Callithrix jacchus: one gene and its partners. The protein of the gene in region 3 purifies or fractionates together with the protein of the main gene of each other region. This does not show direct contact. Links are inferred from orthologs where the notes say so. Each region holds a gene or a part of one and is shown on either strand. Other genes may lie near its edges. The genes, in order: SNRNP70, SF3B6, SF3A3 and SNRPA.

What was found.
Region 1: the proteins of SF3A3 (region 3) and SNRNP70 fractionate together in Homo sapiens (co-fractionation; 3 studies listed by BioGRID). This does not show direct contact. The link is inferred for Callithrix jacchus from reciprocal best matches to the Homo sapiens genes SF3A3 and SNRNP70.
Region 2: the proteins of SF3A3 (region 3) and SF3B6 purify together in Homo sapiens (affinity purification with mass spectrometry; 3 studies listed by BioGRID and IntAct, with this or other methods). This does not show direct contact. The link is inferred for Callithrix jacchus from reciprocal best matches to the Homo sapiens genes SF3A3 and SF3B6.
Region 4: the proteins of SF3A3 (region 3) and SNRPA fractionate together in Homo sapiens (co-fractionation; 4 studies listed by BioGRID and IntAct, with this or other methods). This does not show direct contact. The link is inferred for Callithrix jacchus from reciprocal best matches to the Homo sapiens genes SF3A3 and SNRPA.

What each region holds. Positions count from the first base shown.
Region 1 is NC_133523.1:42,904,096-42,907,660, reverse strand, and holds part of SNRNP70 (U1 small nuclear ribonucleoprotein 70 kDa), read right to left. Parts: intron 1,226-3,565; coding exon 1,163-1,225; intron 1,050-1,162; coding exon 995-1,049; intron 1-994. UniProt on the Homo sapiens protein: Component of the spliceosomal U1 snRNP, which is essential for recognition of the pre-mRNA 5' splice-site and the subsequent assembly of the spliceosome. SNRNP70 binds to the loop I region of U1-snRNA.
Region 2 is NC_133515.1:91,183,868-91,187,064, reverse strand, and holds the end of SF3B6 (splicing factor 3B subunit 6), read right to left. Parts: intron 1,142-3,197; coding exon 1,003-1,141; intron 836-1,002; coding exon 746-835; 3' UTR 566-745; downstream 1-565.
Region 3 is NC_133508.1:74,552,734-74,556,298, forward strand, and holds part of SF3A3 (splicing factor 3A subunit 3), read right to left. Parts: intron 3,439-3,565; coding exon 3,300-3,438; intron 2,586-3,299; coding exon 2,517-2,585; intron 2,122-2,516; coding exon 2,054-2,121; intron 1,889-2,053; coding exon 1,781-1,888; intron 156-1,780; coding exon 86-155; intron 1-85. UniProt on the Homo sapiens protein: Component of the 17S U2 SnRNP complex of the spliceosome, a large ribonucleoprotein complex that removes introns from transcribed pre-mRNAs.
Region 4 is NC_133523.1:36,292,127-36,296,463, reverse strand, and holds the start of SNRPA (U1 small nuclear ribonucleoprotein A), read right to left. Parts: upstream 2,811-4,337; 5' UTR 2,696-2,810; intron 2,531-2,695; exon of another isoform or gene 2,460-2,530; intron 2,200-2,459; exon of another isoform or gene 2,002-2,199; 5' UTR 1,980-2,001; coding exon 1,907-1,979; intron 1-1,906. Other genes in the region: ACTMAP (actin maturation protease), read left to right, coding at 3,571-3,893. UniProt on the Homo sapiens protein: Component of the spliceosomal U1 snRNP, which is essential for recognition of the pre-mRNA 5' splice-site and the subsequent assembly of the spliceosome. U1 snRNP is the first snRNP to interact with pre-mRNA.

The DNA of each region.
Region 1 (3,565 bases), on a different chromosome or scaffold from region 3:
CTCTGCCTCCCGGGTTCAAGCAATTCTCGGGCCTCAGCCTCCCAAGCAGCTGGGACTATAGACGAGCGCCACCACGCTCAGCTAATTTTTTATATTTTTAGTAGAGACGGGGTTTCACTATGTTGGCCAGGATGGTCTTGATCTCTTGACCTCTTGATCCGCCCGCCTCGGCCTCCCAAAGTGCTGGGATTACAGGCGTGAGCCACCGCGCCCGGCTTGTTGCACAGGGTGGAGTACAATGGCAACAACCTCCACCTCCCAGGTTCGAGATTCTCCTGCCTCAGCCTCCCGAGTAACTGGGATTACAGGCACGCACCCCCACACCCGGCTAATTTTTATTTGTATATAGACAGAGTTTCACCAGGCTGGCCAGGCTGATCTCAAACTCCTGACCTCACAGTCCACCTGCCTCAGCCTCCCAAAGTACGGGATTATAGGCATGAGCCACCGCGCCCAGCAAAATATAGTCTAATCACATGGGCTCACCGTCACAGCTGTGGTCCCCTGCTGACTGAAATATCACTATGCTGCGTGAGTTTTCACTCTCACAATAAAGAGCCACTGGAGGTTGATAACTGAGCTTATCGGTTTGGTTAATGACGACAATACTCCTGTCCTGTACTCCCAATTCCTCTGATACGTGGAGGGGATGAACGTCCTCAGCCCAAAGGTCAGGGAGCTAAGGGTAGAGCTGGGACGGACCCACTAGCCCACAACTCACTGCCTCAGCCTGAGACCCAGCTGGGTTGTGGGAGCCCCTTATAACTGTCCTCCCCTGCAGGAAGAGCCCAAGGTACCAGGGGTCTCCCTTCCCACCAACTTTTACCCCATATTCTGCTGCTGAAAAGCCCAAACCAAAAACAGGGCTTGCCAAGTGGCAGGGACCAAATAAAAGAACAATCCTGCTCCCCCAAAAACAGGCCTTTGGGAGACAGCAGGATACTGAGTGACCTGGAAAGAACACAGCGGGGAGAACAGTGGATGAGAGACTTACACATTTTGAGCTCTGTCTCCACTTCCTGCTGTCGCCGCTCAATCTTCTCCCGTCTCTGTCATGAGAAAGGGGAGGTGGATAAGTAAACGCAGATAGAAGTACCCTGGTGTCAAGGACCATGTGGAGAAAACAGCGAAAGGTGGGGGTCTGGAAACAAAAATGACATACTTTCCTCTCCATGCGTTCCTCTCGGGTTTCTGCACGAGTTGGAGGAGGGGCATCTCGAGGGTCCTAGGAACAAGAAGAGAGGTGACAGGGTGGGAAGGACTAGGGGAAACGGAAAGGGACGCTCACCAAGGAAATAAGCATGTCACCCCTCCCACCCCCACTACAAAAACACACACACATGTACACTTCCCCAGTCACTGTGGAGGGAGAGGAGTGGCACAGATCAAAGCATGGTCTGCAGCCACACACAGTGGCTTCCACTTGTAATCTCATCACTTTGGGGGGGATGACACAGGAAGAATGCTTGAGCCCAGGGGTTTCAGACCAGCCTGGGAAACACAGTGAAACACCATCTCTACTAAAAATTTACAAATAAGCCAGGTGTGGGGGCACACGTCTATAGTCCCAGCTACTAGGGTGGCTAAGGAGGAGGATCTCTTGGGCACTGGAGAGCGAGGCGGCCATGAACAATGACTGTGACAGTGCACTCCAGCCTGGATGACAGAATAAGACCCTATCTTAGAAAAGAAGCACAGTCCATGGACCAGCACTATCCAAACCTGCTGGACTGTGAGAAGTACAGAAACCAGGAGTAAGTGCTAAGAAACTTCTACAGTAATTTCACAGTTTTACGCTCACTGACTAATACAAATTTGGTCTTTTATTCTGCAGGTCTTCTATTTTATTTTATTTATTTATTTTTTTTGAGACCGAGTTTCGCTCCTGTTACCCAGGCTGGAGTACAATGGCGCGATCTCGGCTCACCGCAACCTCCGCCTCCTGGGTTCAGGCAATTCTCCTGCCTCAGCCTCCTGAGTAGCTGGGATTACAGGCACACGCCACCATGCCCAGCTAATTTTTTGTATTTTTAGTAGAGATGGCGTTTCACCATGTTGACCAGAATGGTCTCAATCTCTCGACCTCGTGATCCACCCGCCTCGGCCTCCCAAAGTGCTGGGATTACAGCCTTGAGCCACCGCGCCCCGCCAGGTCTTCTATTTTTTGATGCAAAGTCTTGCTATGTGACCCAGGGTGGAGTACAATGGCGCGACCTCGGCTCACTGCAACCTCCACCTCCCAGGTTCAAGCGATTCTACGTCCTGCTTTCCCCTCTGTGCTGTCTCTACAAGGAACCCACTAGCAATCGTGTGTTTCTAAAAGGAACCCAGGAACTGACTAGAATCGTTCAAGTGATTCTCCTGCCTCAGCCTCCTGAGTACCTGGGATTACAGGTAAACGACACTATGCTGGCTAATTTTTGTACTTTTAGTAGAGAGGAGGTTTCACCATATTGGCCAGGTTGGTCTAGAACTTCTGACTGTAAGTCTTTCTTTAAAAAGTAATTCTAGGCCGGGCGCAGTGGCTCACGCCTATAATCCCAGCACTTTGGGAAGCCAAGGCAGGTCATGAGGTCAAGAGATGGAGAACATCCTGGTCAACAAGGTGAAACACCGTCTCTACTAAAAATACAAAAATTAGTTGGGCATGGTGGTGCACGCCTGTAGTCCCAGTTACTCGGGAGGCTGAGGCAGGAGAATTGCTTGAACCCAGGAGGCGGAGGTTGCGGTGAGCCGAGATCGTGCCATTGCACTCCAGCCTGGGTAACAAGAGCGAAACTCCGTCGCAAAAAAAAAAAAAAGTAATTCTATCCTATTTATCAAAAGCATCAATCTGCAACAGATTGGAAACTGCCCTTCACCAATGACAGTTTGAAAAGCACTGGCACAGGTGACACCTAGCTTAAAAATACAGTGCTGAAGGTCCCTGTCTTCCATATTCAGGAAACACGCTGCTTCTCACAGCTCCAAGCATCACTCACATTGAACAAAGTGCCAGAAGATGTGATGGGAGCGGAGTTACGGGAGGGCCCTGTTTATGAGAGTCAGTTAAGAGGACCAGGCCTGAAGCAACATGAGCTGACAGGACAGGACTCCGAAGCCCACACTGCACACCCTCTGAGTGCCAGGGCAGCACTTAAAGGTGTCACCAACCATGCATTAAATAGTAACTGGTTGCTGGACGTGGTGGCTCACGCCTGTAATCCCAGCAGTTTGGAAGGTCAAGGCTGGTGGATCACTGGAGGTCAGGGGTTCGAAACCAGCCTGGCCAACATGGCGAACCCCTATCTCTACTAACAATACAAAATTGGCCAGGCATGGTGGCACATGCCTGTAATCCCAGCTACTGGAAAGGCTGAGGCAGAACTGCTTGAACTGAAGGCTGCAGTGAGCTGAAATCACACCACTGCACTCCAGCCTGCGCAACAAAAGTGAAACTCAGTCTCATAAATAGTAACTGGCACATCATCATCAGAGGGCATCTACCACCTGCCTGTGCCCATTAAATTAAGTTAATTGGCTAGTAACATTTCTTAAGTGCTGGTTCATCCAGGGTGGCAAATCC
Region 2 (3,197 bases), on a different chromosome or scaffold from region 3:
ACACATAACAACCAACACCACTATCCAAGCAGCTTGCTCTCAAACTTCTACCAATGTGACAACCATTATATACCCATAATAATTTTCAAAAAAATTTAGAGAGGCAAATCTAAGTTTCTAACAGTGTACTACCATCTAAATGACCATTTCTAGAATAGACCTCTGTTCTAAGACAAGGGTACCCATACTGACAAAGGTATTTTGTTAACTATAAAGCAAGCATCATTCAAATGTAAAGGCTTGGTTGCTATTACACCAGCTTTGTAGGTTAGCATTTTATTCATTCACCCAACATCATGAGCTTTGGTTTCCTCGCCTGCAAAATGCAAATACCTATCTTCACTGAGTTGTTATAAAGATCCATTATTAATAGACATTCAATAAACAGCAAGTTCCTTTGACGGCTAAGCACTGCACTGGACCCCGGAGGCATTAAGAATATAAAGAGGTCCTGTTTTCAAGAAACTCGGACTCCCTAGGAGCACCTACAATTCCTGATAAGCTTCAACTATTTTTTTCCTGGTATCAAACAGGGAGGGAAAGTTCAAAAGAAAAGACAGACGTGTTTCACAAAAAGCAACAGGTTTATTAATATCATGTATTCTGATATGTATCAAAGTTTCAAGGTCATTTTGAACCTAAAATAAGAAATCACAATATTTAGTATTAATTAAAAAGGAAAAAAAGGGAAAAGATGGTAGTTGTCATTCATGGTTTCAGTCCAAAATGAAAATGTAGAAAACATTTATTTTGGTGGATCTGTGTTGATGCCATACTTCTCCTTGAGAAGCTTCAACTGTTCCTCCTTCTTCTTTGTGTCCATCTTCTGAAATGCCTGGAAATGCAGTAAGCACCAAAGTTGAATTACCGATCTACAGCCAAATAAATTTCACCAATAGCATTAGCCAAAAAATAGTCACAGTAGACATATATCGTCACAGCACAGTTCTACACTAATTTTCAAATGAGATCACCATACAAGGAGAACTTGGCTATACTTACCCTGTTGGCATTATAGTACAAAACCACAAGGTATCTGTTACAAACATTGAATCCTGATAGGTGATCACATGCATTCTTGGCATCAAAGATGTCCTCATAGACCACATAAGCTGTTCCTCTAGTTTCAGGTGTGTTCCCCCTGGAGAGTTAAATCAAACTTAATTAAGATATACGTTTACCTGAGCATTGAGTTGAATAACAGAACTGTCTTTTAAACTGGTAACTGTCTTCTAAAGACAGTAAACTGAAATATGTTTTTAATTTAAATATTTTGAAACCAACCTGAAACCATAAGAGGAAATAAACACGCATAGATAACTAGATAAGCCTGTAATTTCTTGAATTCGGTAATTTTGTTTTTTGTTTTTATCTTAAGTAAAACATCTATAGGTCAAGCTTACTGCTATATCAGGAATACTAGGAACACAGCTACTACCCAGAACTCAGCTTCTTACCACCCTGTCTGGCACTACATTGCTTTTTTTTTGAGATGGAACCTCACTCTTGCCTAGGTTGGAGTGCAGTGGCATGATCCCAGCTCACTGCAACCTCTGCCTCTCAAGTTCAAGTGATTCTCATGCCTCCCAAGTAATTGGGACTCCAGGCATGTGCCACCATGTCCAGCTAATTTTTGTACTTTTAGTAGAGATAGGGTTTTGCCCTGTTCCCGGGCTGGTCTCGAACTCCTGACCTCAAGTGATTGAGCTGCCTCAGCCTCCCAAGGTGTTGAGATTACAGGCATGAGTCACCAAACCTGGTCTACATTCATTTTTAATACAACTCAATGCCTTTTTAATACAAACTCTAATGCATGATACAGCTGTATGGCTGGGGAGAAGGGCTAGGCTTCTGCAAAGATGGGAGTGGAAGTGTGCTTATAGATAGGGTTATCTGTGAGCAAGGGCAGAATGCTGGAAGGTGACTGGAAGTGGAAACTAGACCTTACTCATAGATATGGGGCTGCTGTTAGTGTAGGTATTCCTGGCCACTTCCTTCCTTCACTTCATCAGCTTCCTCTGAGAGAGGTAGAGAAGTGTGAGGAGCAACAGAACACTAAATTGTAGGCAGCAGCTGGCCATGTGATTGTCAGTGGGGACAATGGGTAGAGTTCCCACTCAGTTCATGCTCTGGATGACAAGATGGCCCCCTTGCCTCCATCTGTGTTCTGACCACCCAGTGCAACCGTGGAATGAGGTTTAAGATTGTTGGCTTTCCATCTGCCACAGTCCCTACATAGGGTTGAATAAAAGCAGTGGAGCCATGGGAAGTGGAGGCACATGCCTAGACTTGATCTAGGACAAGATTATAGTCCGGGCCCTGCTCAAGCTTCTGCTTCCTATAACATTGAAAAGGTGCAGGGTGCTGGGGGTGATTGGAGGGTGCCAGTGTCAATGAGTATGCTCACTTTGTCAGGTTACGTGGGCCTGATCTCGGGTTTTAGAATGTTCTTTAGGATCTGGGAAGTCTTAACAACTTTCAGACTTTTGACTTTTAAAAACTTAACAAGATTTTCAGTTCTTTAAGAGCAAAGGTGATCTTATGCCTACTTCATTTACTCCTATAGTGCCACACATAAGGCAGATGCTAATATGCCTTTGAAAGGTGGAGATCTACTTCCTATCAATTCTCTCACACATACTTTCTCCAGGAAGCTCAAAACAAAGCAACTCTCTTTCTTCCTCTTACATCTTCTTAGGAACCAGCATAGGGATAGATACTAACCCCACTTTAAAGACCCTCCATCTCAAGTGTCCCAGTCTTAATTATCAGCCTCACATCTTGAGAGCTGTATTATAATCTGAACATATATATATATATATATATATATATATATATATATATATATATATATATATATATTTTGAGATGGAGTCTTGCTCTGTCGCCCAGGCTGGAGTGTAAAGGCGCTATCTCGGCTCACTGCAACCTCCACCTCTTGGGTTCAAGTGATTCTCCTGCCTCAGCCTCCTGAGTAGCTGGGATTACAGGCACCCGCCACCATGCCTGGCTAATTTGTTTTATCTTTAGTAGAGACAGGGTTTCACCATGTTGGCCAGGCTGGTCTCAAACTCCTGACCTCATGATCTGCCTGCCTCGGCTTCCCAACATGCTGGGATTACAGGCATGAGCCACCGTGCCTGGCCAATTGGAACTTTTAAAAGCATGTATTTGTACCATGTATAGGGCACTGAGCT
Region 3 (3,565 bases):
CTAGAGAAAAAAATATCTTCCATGAGTTCCTCGCCATTTAACTCCCATACTTTACACCAATTTTCCGCTTTCAGCAGTCACTTACCCCGAGAATCTCTACGTATTCATAGATTTGGGCTTCTAGAAAAGCAATGTCTTTGTTCCTCTCAGTGTCTCTGAGAAAAAGAAACAAGCCATTATCACTCAAGGATTCTCTCATCCATTGCTTTGCTCCCTATATCTGGGAACAGTTACTGCACACTGCATTAAAAATTATAAACACGAGAAATGACATCCTGTGAAAGCAAATGCTCTGTCATCTCGTGACTCTGACAGAAATATTTCTTAGAATGCATGGAGGCTTCCTCTATGACCTCATCTAGAAGGTGAAAGACATATCAAGAGCACTTAAATTTCCATCATTATAATCTACAAAAAAATGTGATATAGAAGAGCAAGTTCTGCAGTAGATAGACCTGGGCCCAAATCCTGACTCTGCTACTTACAACTATGAGAGAGTGGACACATACCATAACTTTTCTGGGTCCTTATCTGTAAAAACTCAGAATAACAATTACTTTTTAGGGTTGTTGTAAGAATTAGAAAAAAACATGCATTAAGAAAATGGGCCAGGCGCGGTGGCTCATGCTTGTAATCCCAGCACTTTGGGAAGCTGAGGCAGGAGGATCGCTTGAAGTCAGGCACTCATGACCAGCCTGGCCAACATGGTGAAACCCCGTCTCTACTAAAAATACAAAAATTGGGCGGGTGCAACGGCTCATGCCTGTAATCCCAGCACTTTGGAAGGCCAAGGCAGGTAGATTGCCTGAGGTCAGTTCAAAACCAGCCTGGCCAACATGGTGAAACCCTGTCTGTACTAAAAATACAAAAATTAGGTGGGCACAGTGGTTCACACCTGTAATCCCAGCACTTTGGAAGGCCAAGGCAGGTGGATTGCCTGAGGTCAGGAGTTCAAAACCAGCCTGGCCAACATGGTGAAACCCTGTCTCTACTAAAAATACAAAAAATTAGCCAGGCATGGTGGCAGGTGTCTATAATCCCAGCTACTCGGGAGGCTAAGGCAGGAGAATCACTTAAACCTGGGAGGCAGAGGTTGCAATAAGCCAAGACTGTGCTACTGCACTCCAGCCTGGGCAAAAGAGTGAGACTTCATCTCAAAAAAGAAAAAAAAAATCCCTCAGCTGGGTGCAGTGGCTCACACCTATAATCTCAGCACTTTGGGAGGCCAAGGTGGGTGAATCACTTAAGCTCAGGAGATGCAGACCAGCATGGCCAACATGACGAAACCCATCTCTACTAAAAATACAAAAATCAGCCAGGTGTGGTGGTGCACACCTGTAGTCCCAGCTACTCAGGAGGTTGAGCAAGTGAATCCCTTGAACCTGGGAGGTGAACTCCAGTTTGGGTGACAGAGCGAAACTGTGTGTCAAAAAAAAAGAAAAGACCCTGTATAAGTATGCAGCTCAAGAATTAGATTCAACTTTCATTACCAAAAATAAGCTTAGAAAAATATTTTTTGGCTGGGCGCAGTGGCTCACGTCTGTAATCCCAGCACTTTGGGAGGTCGAGGCCGGCAGATTGCGAGGTCAGGAGTTCAAGATCAGCCTGGCCAATATGGTGAAACCCCGTCTCTACTTAAAATACAAAAGAGCAGGCTGAATCTGTCAACCAATAATGGGAATAAAGCAGACTCTAATTTAAAATCTCCACTGTGGTTAAAAATTGTGCATGGGAATGACATTCAAAAGCCACAAAGAGAGGTGCTACCCCAGCCACTCACCGCTTGGTGCCCTTTGACTTGGGATTTTTGGCAAACAAAGAGGTATCAAGTGATTCCAGGGACTTTCCTTTGGTGCTGAATAGTCTCTGGGCTCGCTCTTCTAGGGTCCTAAGGAGACAGAACAGGCAAAGGATTTCAGGGTTACTTTATCACACAGGCTTGCTTATTTTTGCAGTTTGGAGCAACAGAAAAAAATACGTAATCAGAGCTACTTAGAAGACTGTGCAAACACACAGTAAATCAAACAGTTTTGATAGAAAAACCATTCCTTACCCGCCACATTTCAAGCCTAAAGCTAAGAGAGCAGATTTCAATCTGTCCAAACCCAGAGAGGCCAACTCCTGTACAAAGAGAAAAAGTACAATTGAGATTTTTGGGAAACAACAAATGCAGGCCAGTGGGTGGGTGTTCCTGAGGCTGTGGCAGGACCACACATTTCATAGCCGATCTGGCAGTAAGTCTAAACTCTCCAGAGGACTGAGCCTGTAGTCATCTTCAGACTTAAACATACTGGTATTAACTATTACTGTTACTACAGCTTAATGTAGTTAGAGCGATTATTTCAGTTTCCCAAGTAGTTATTTTTTTCTTTTTACCTTGCTACCTTCTTTGTAGATGCTTGATCCCAGGAAAGAGTGCCTTATCACAACACAACCACGGTATTAAAGACAGGAGAGCAAGTGGTCCCTCTGAAAGATAGACAGGGAGAACAGTACTACCGCTGAAGGAAACATACCTCCCAGGAGGAGAATGCGGAGAGGTCAAGATGGGCTCCAGCATGGGTCAGAGCACTGCTTGTCTCTTTCTGGAAAGAAGAACAACATGTTATTTATTAAGGTCCAGGTTTAGGCCGGGCGTGGTGGCTCACAACTGTAATCTCAACACTTTGAGAGGCCAAGGTGGGTGAACTGCTGGAGCTCAGAAGTTAAGAGATCAGCCACAGCAACATGGTGAAACCCCATCTCTACAAAAAAATACATGAATTAGCTGGGTATGGTGGCATGTGCCAACTACTCAGGAGTCTAAAGTGGGAGGATCTCTTGAGTCCAGGCAGTTGAGGCTGCAGCAGTGAGGTATGATTGTGCCACTGCACTCCAGCCTAGGAGCAAGATGGAAAACTTGCTTCCAAAAAACAAAAAAACAAAACAGGTTTAGGATGAAGGTAAAGTTGGTCCACATTCCCTGCCTGGGGAGTTCAGGAAAAACTCAGGTTTATCCCCACAAGCAAGAATACAGATTCCTAACATATGATTGAATAAGCTTTTGGTAAGCAGAAACCACATGGCAGTAATGATATGATTGGCGAAAATCTGGGCACAGTCCAAGGCAAGTGGGCCCTGATAATCTTGCTCCAAAGTACACACAGAAAAACCTAGCATACTCGGCAGGGAATACCTCATGGTCACAAATGATACCAAGGAATTGATACCTAATGCCCTAAAGTGGAAGCTCAAGATAAAGGAAAATAATCAGTTCAATTCCCTGGCATGTCCACCATTCACACCCCACTGTAGCTCACCGGCCATCCAGGAAAGGTCCCATTCTCCCATTTCTTCTCAAACTCAGCCTGAATCTTCCCAAAAAGTTCATTCTGATCTTGGAGAGGCTTCACTCTATCCGTGTAATCCTGAAGGTACTCAAGCAGCATCTCTAGGTATCTACAGAGGAACACGTAACAAAGAGAAAGCAAAAAGGGTTTATATTTTTGGTATCTTGTTATATTCCCTGTAGAATAAATAGTACTTATAATTCTAGTAATAGTATTTTTTAATAATCATTTTTAAA
Region 4 (4,337 bases), on a different chromosome or scaffold from region 3:
GGTTGGGTAGCACACTCTAAAAGCATATGCAATATTTACATTCCTGATTTTGTCTTTTTTTTTTTTTTTTTTTTTTTTTTTTTGAGACAGTCTCACACTACCGTCCTGGCTGGAGCACAGTGGTGCGAACTCTGCTCACTAAGACCTCTACTTCCTTCCCGTGTTCTGGGAGGGAAAAAGTAAAAAATTGCAAAAAAAAAAAAACACCCAAAAACCTCCGCTTCCTGGGTTTCAAGTGATTCTTCTGCCTCAGCCTCCCGAGTAGCCGGGGCTACAGACATGCACCGCCACACCTGGCTAATTTTTGTATTTTTAGTAAAGACAGGGTTTCAGCATGTTAGCCAGGCTGGTCTCGAACTCCTGGCTTTAAGTGATCTACCCGCCTCTGCCTCCCAGTGTGTTGGGATTACAGGCGTGAGCCACTGCGCCTGGCTGTAGGCTATGCTTTCCTCAAGCGCAACTTCACTGGTAACCTCAAACTGAATCCCAGCAAGCTCCTTCGCTTCTCCCGACAATTTTCTTGAGGTGATAAGAGCTAACATTTATCCAGCCCTTCCTAGCTGCCAGGTACCATAAAACAGAAACACTTAGAGATTTAGCTAATTTAATTTCCCCCAACATCGATGCAAAGAAGGTATTATGACTTTGTTCAGTTTTCAGACACAGAAAATGAGGTTCAATAAAGGTGATAATTTACTTGAGAAAGCTGTAGAGTCTTGCCGATTTCAATAATCAAGTTCTTTTTTTACATAGGTTCTTGCTCTGCCCAGGCTGCAGTGCAATCATAGCTCACTGCAGCCTCAACCTCTGTAGCTCAAGCGATCCTCCCATCTCAGCCTCCTGAGCAGCTGGGACCACAGACGTGACCCACCCATGCCCAGGCTTTTTTTTTTTTTTTTTTGTAGAGACAAGATCTCGCTTTGTTGCCCAGGCTGATCTTGAACTCCTGTGTTTAAGTGATCCTTTCGGCCTGAGCCACCACGCCCTGCCAAAAACGGGAGTTAGATACCGGTGGCTATGTGACCCAGGCCAAGTCACATCACCCCAGTCTCAGCTTATTTGAGGAATGGGAATAACAAAAGCCTTCTTTCTTCCTACAGGCTTGTTTTGAGGATTAAATGTAACCAAGATTGGGAGCGGTGGCTCACGCCTGTAATCCCAGCACTTTGGGAGGCCGAGGCGGGCGGATCACAAGGTTAAGAGATCGAGACCATCTTGGTGAAATCCCATCTCTACTAAAAATACAAAAAATAGCCGGGCATGGTGGCACGTGCCTGTGGTCCCAGCTACTCAGAAGGCTGAGGTGGGAGAATCGCTTGAACCCAGGAGTCGGATGTTGCAGTGAGCCGAGATTGCGCCACTGCACTCCAGCCTGGGGATAGAGCAAGACTCCGTCTCAAAAAAAAAAAAAAAAAAAAAAAAAAAAAAAAAAAATAGCGCATAGACCAGCCCATGATACAGAGCGTTAGCCCCAGTACGGTACATTTTCACTGTGCACTGATCACTGAAAACGCCGGTGACCAAGAAGCCCCAGGCGTTGCCCTCATGGAGCTCAAAGGCCACTGGGAGGAGAGAGAGCCCCACGACAGCCCAGAGGAATCCGGGCTTGATGGAAGGAAGTCAGGGGCAGCCACGTGAAGGGACGCAGGATAGGGAAGGCTTCCTGGAGGAGGGGTCCTGTGTCCTGAAACCTTGTAAGATGAGCAACAGTGACCAGGTTAAAGGGCAGAGTGTAAGATGAACTAACGAGTGTTGAAGACAGAGGAAGTCGTTTGTGTAAAGGCCAAAGGGTTCACTGGAACAGTTTGCTTGGACGAACACTGAGAAAGAAAAGCAGGTGCAGGGGGTGGAAGGGAGACCAGCCCGTGCGGGACAGCCTGGAGTGCGGACTATCCCGAGAACTCACCATCCTTCTTGATCTTCTCATTGAGGTTGTTGATATAAATAGTGTGGTTAGGGCGGGTCTCGGGAACTGCCATGGAGTGAAGTGTCGAGGTAAGGCTTAAACGAGAAATAACGTGACTTTAGCCCTGGTTTTCTCCAAATCCTTTGTCCCAACGTTGGCTTAACGGGGGGCTCAAGGTTCTTCCTTCCGAGAGGAAGTCAGGTAAGGCGGGAGTGGGAAGGACGGAGGCACAGCGTGGGCAACAAAGCGTGCGTAGGACCCACTTCTCGAGCCCGCGTGCAGAGGGAACTCTCGAGAGATTTACTACGAGTTCCAGGATGCTCTACGCGACCCAGTGGGCGGAGCCCCCTAAATGGCGGTTCCCATTGGTCGACGCGTCCGAAGGGCAGTCCGGGAGAAAAAACCCGGATGTAAGAGCCAGTAAAGGAAGAAAGGATGGGTCTTGGGCAGCCTGGCCTCGAGAGGCAGAAGTTTCCTCAGACGGGCACAGGAAGGCCCGGACGCCAAGCGCACCGCCCGCCTTCCGCCGATGTTAGTCTGCGCCCGAGGTTACCTTCCGATGGGGCCGCAGTTTTCTCAACTGGCGCCTGCTACTTTTCTGAGACCAAACCACAAAGCTTTCTCTCCTGGCCCCGCCTCTACCTTTCTGTCAGCCAATCCCCATGCGGAAACTCAGTAGCTTGCCCAATCAGAGCAAGACTCGTTTCTAGGCTCAGTTCTTGCCAATCAAAACGATATTTGGGTTCCCGCTTAGGTAGAAAAACTCCGCCCCACTTTCGACAAGCCCACCTCCTTCCGTAGCTCCCGAGTCTACGGACCAATCAGTGAAGGTCACGATTGTTTTGCCAATCGGGACGCGTTTCGAACTGCGGTGTCTTCCGGAGGCAAGCCTGTTTGAAGCCCCGCCTCTTCCCCGCGTGAGATGCGTTTTCTGTCACGTGATCGCCAAATGGGCGGGCACTATTGAGGGTGATACCACATAATATGGGAAAGGCTGTGTGCGGGGGCCGCCATTTTGCGGGAGTGGGCGGCTCATTTTACTTCCTGACTCCTTTCCCTGTTCCACCGGTTATCGCGGCGCCCTCCAGCCTGTGATCTCTGAGTCTTCTCCAACCCACGGAGGTTTTTTATTGCTCTGACTCCAGGACCTTCTCCACAACTAGGCCACTTTCCCTGCCAGGTGTCCTTTTTGACCTCTTGCCTCTGACTCAAAAGGTCAGCTCAAAGGTTCCGAACTCGGGCCTGGGATGTGAGAGGGGACTGAGTCTAAGTTCTCCGAATCTTTAGCCCCGGGCCCCTAAGTCGCACCCTTCAGGCACCTCACTCTATGTCTGAGCCTTCATATCCCAGACTTACCCATGAGTTTCCACATTCGGCCCCAGAGAAGGAGTTAACTCCTACTAACTGTCCACCTAAGCCTCCCGAGGTAACAACCCGTCCCCGCCGTGTTAGCCGTCAGGTGCCTTAAGGCTGAGGTCAGCCTCGCAATTCCTGCTCCCACTGTTTCAAATGTTAGCCCTGGTCCTTTCACACCCACTGCTCTGCCCCCAGATTCTGGAATTCAGCTCTTAAACTTTTAAAATTTCCGTCCCTGAGGCCGTCCTCTTGGACGATCCCTCCCTCCCCACCTTCTGAACCCCTCAGCACCTCCTGGAGACCCCAAAATGACTTCACCAAGCTCTCCTCCCCTAAAATCACCAATCCCTCCTCCAAGAACCCCTGTACCCCAAGCCAGCAGCATTCCACCTCCTCCTCTACCCCCAAGTGCCCTGGACTTTTTAGCTTTTTCATCCCGTCCCTGGAGTCAGCAAACTCCTGTTCCCCCACCGCCCCCACTGCCTCCTCCACCCGCTGCCTCGGGGCCTGCTCGCCCTCATGTCTTCGGCCTGGAGAAGAGCCAGCTCCTGAAGGAGGCCTTGGAGAAGGCTGGCCCGGTCCCCAAGGGCAGAGAAGATGTGAAGAGGCTCCTGAAGCTGCACAAGGACCGGTAGGGTCTCCATACCCCACCCACCGCCCAGGCTCTGCCCCAGTTGCTTCTCCGCAGATCACTTCAGCCGCCTCCTCTTGTCTCCTCTTGGGGGGTTCTCGTGTCCTCAAGATCAAACAGCCTGACTATTTAGGACCCCCACGTAGACCCCTTGCGTGGTGGTGTGCCTCCAGCAGTGAAGAAGCTGTCCTCACAAGTGCCCCGTCCAGAACCGGGCGTGGTGGCTCAGGCCTGTAATCCCAGCTACTTTGGGAGGCCGCGGCCGGCAGACCTGAGGTCAGGAGTTGGAGATCAGCCTAACCAATATGGTGAAACCCCATCTCTACTAAAAATACAAAAATTAGCCTGGTGTGGTGGAGTGCAGCTGTAGTCCCAGCTACTAGGGAGGCTGAGGCAGAATTGCTTGAACACTGGAGGCGGAGGTTGCAGTGAGCCAAGATCGAA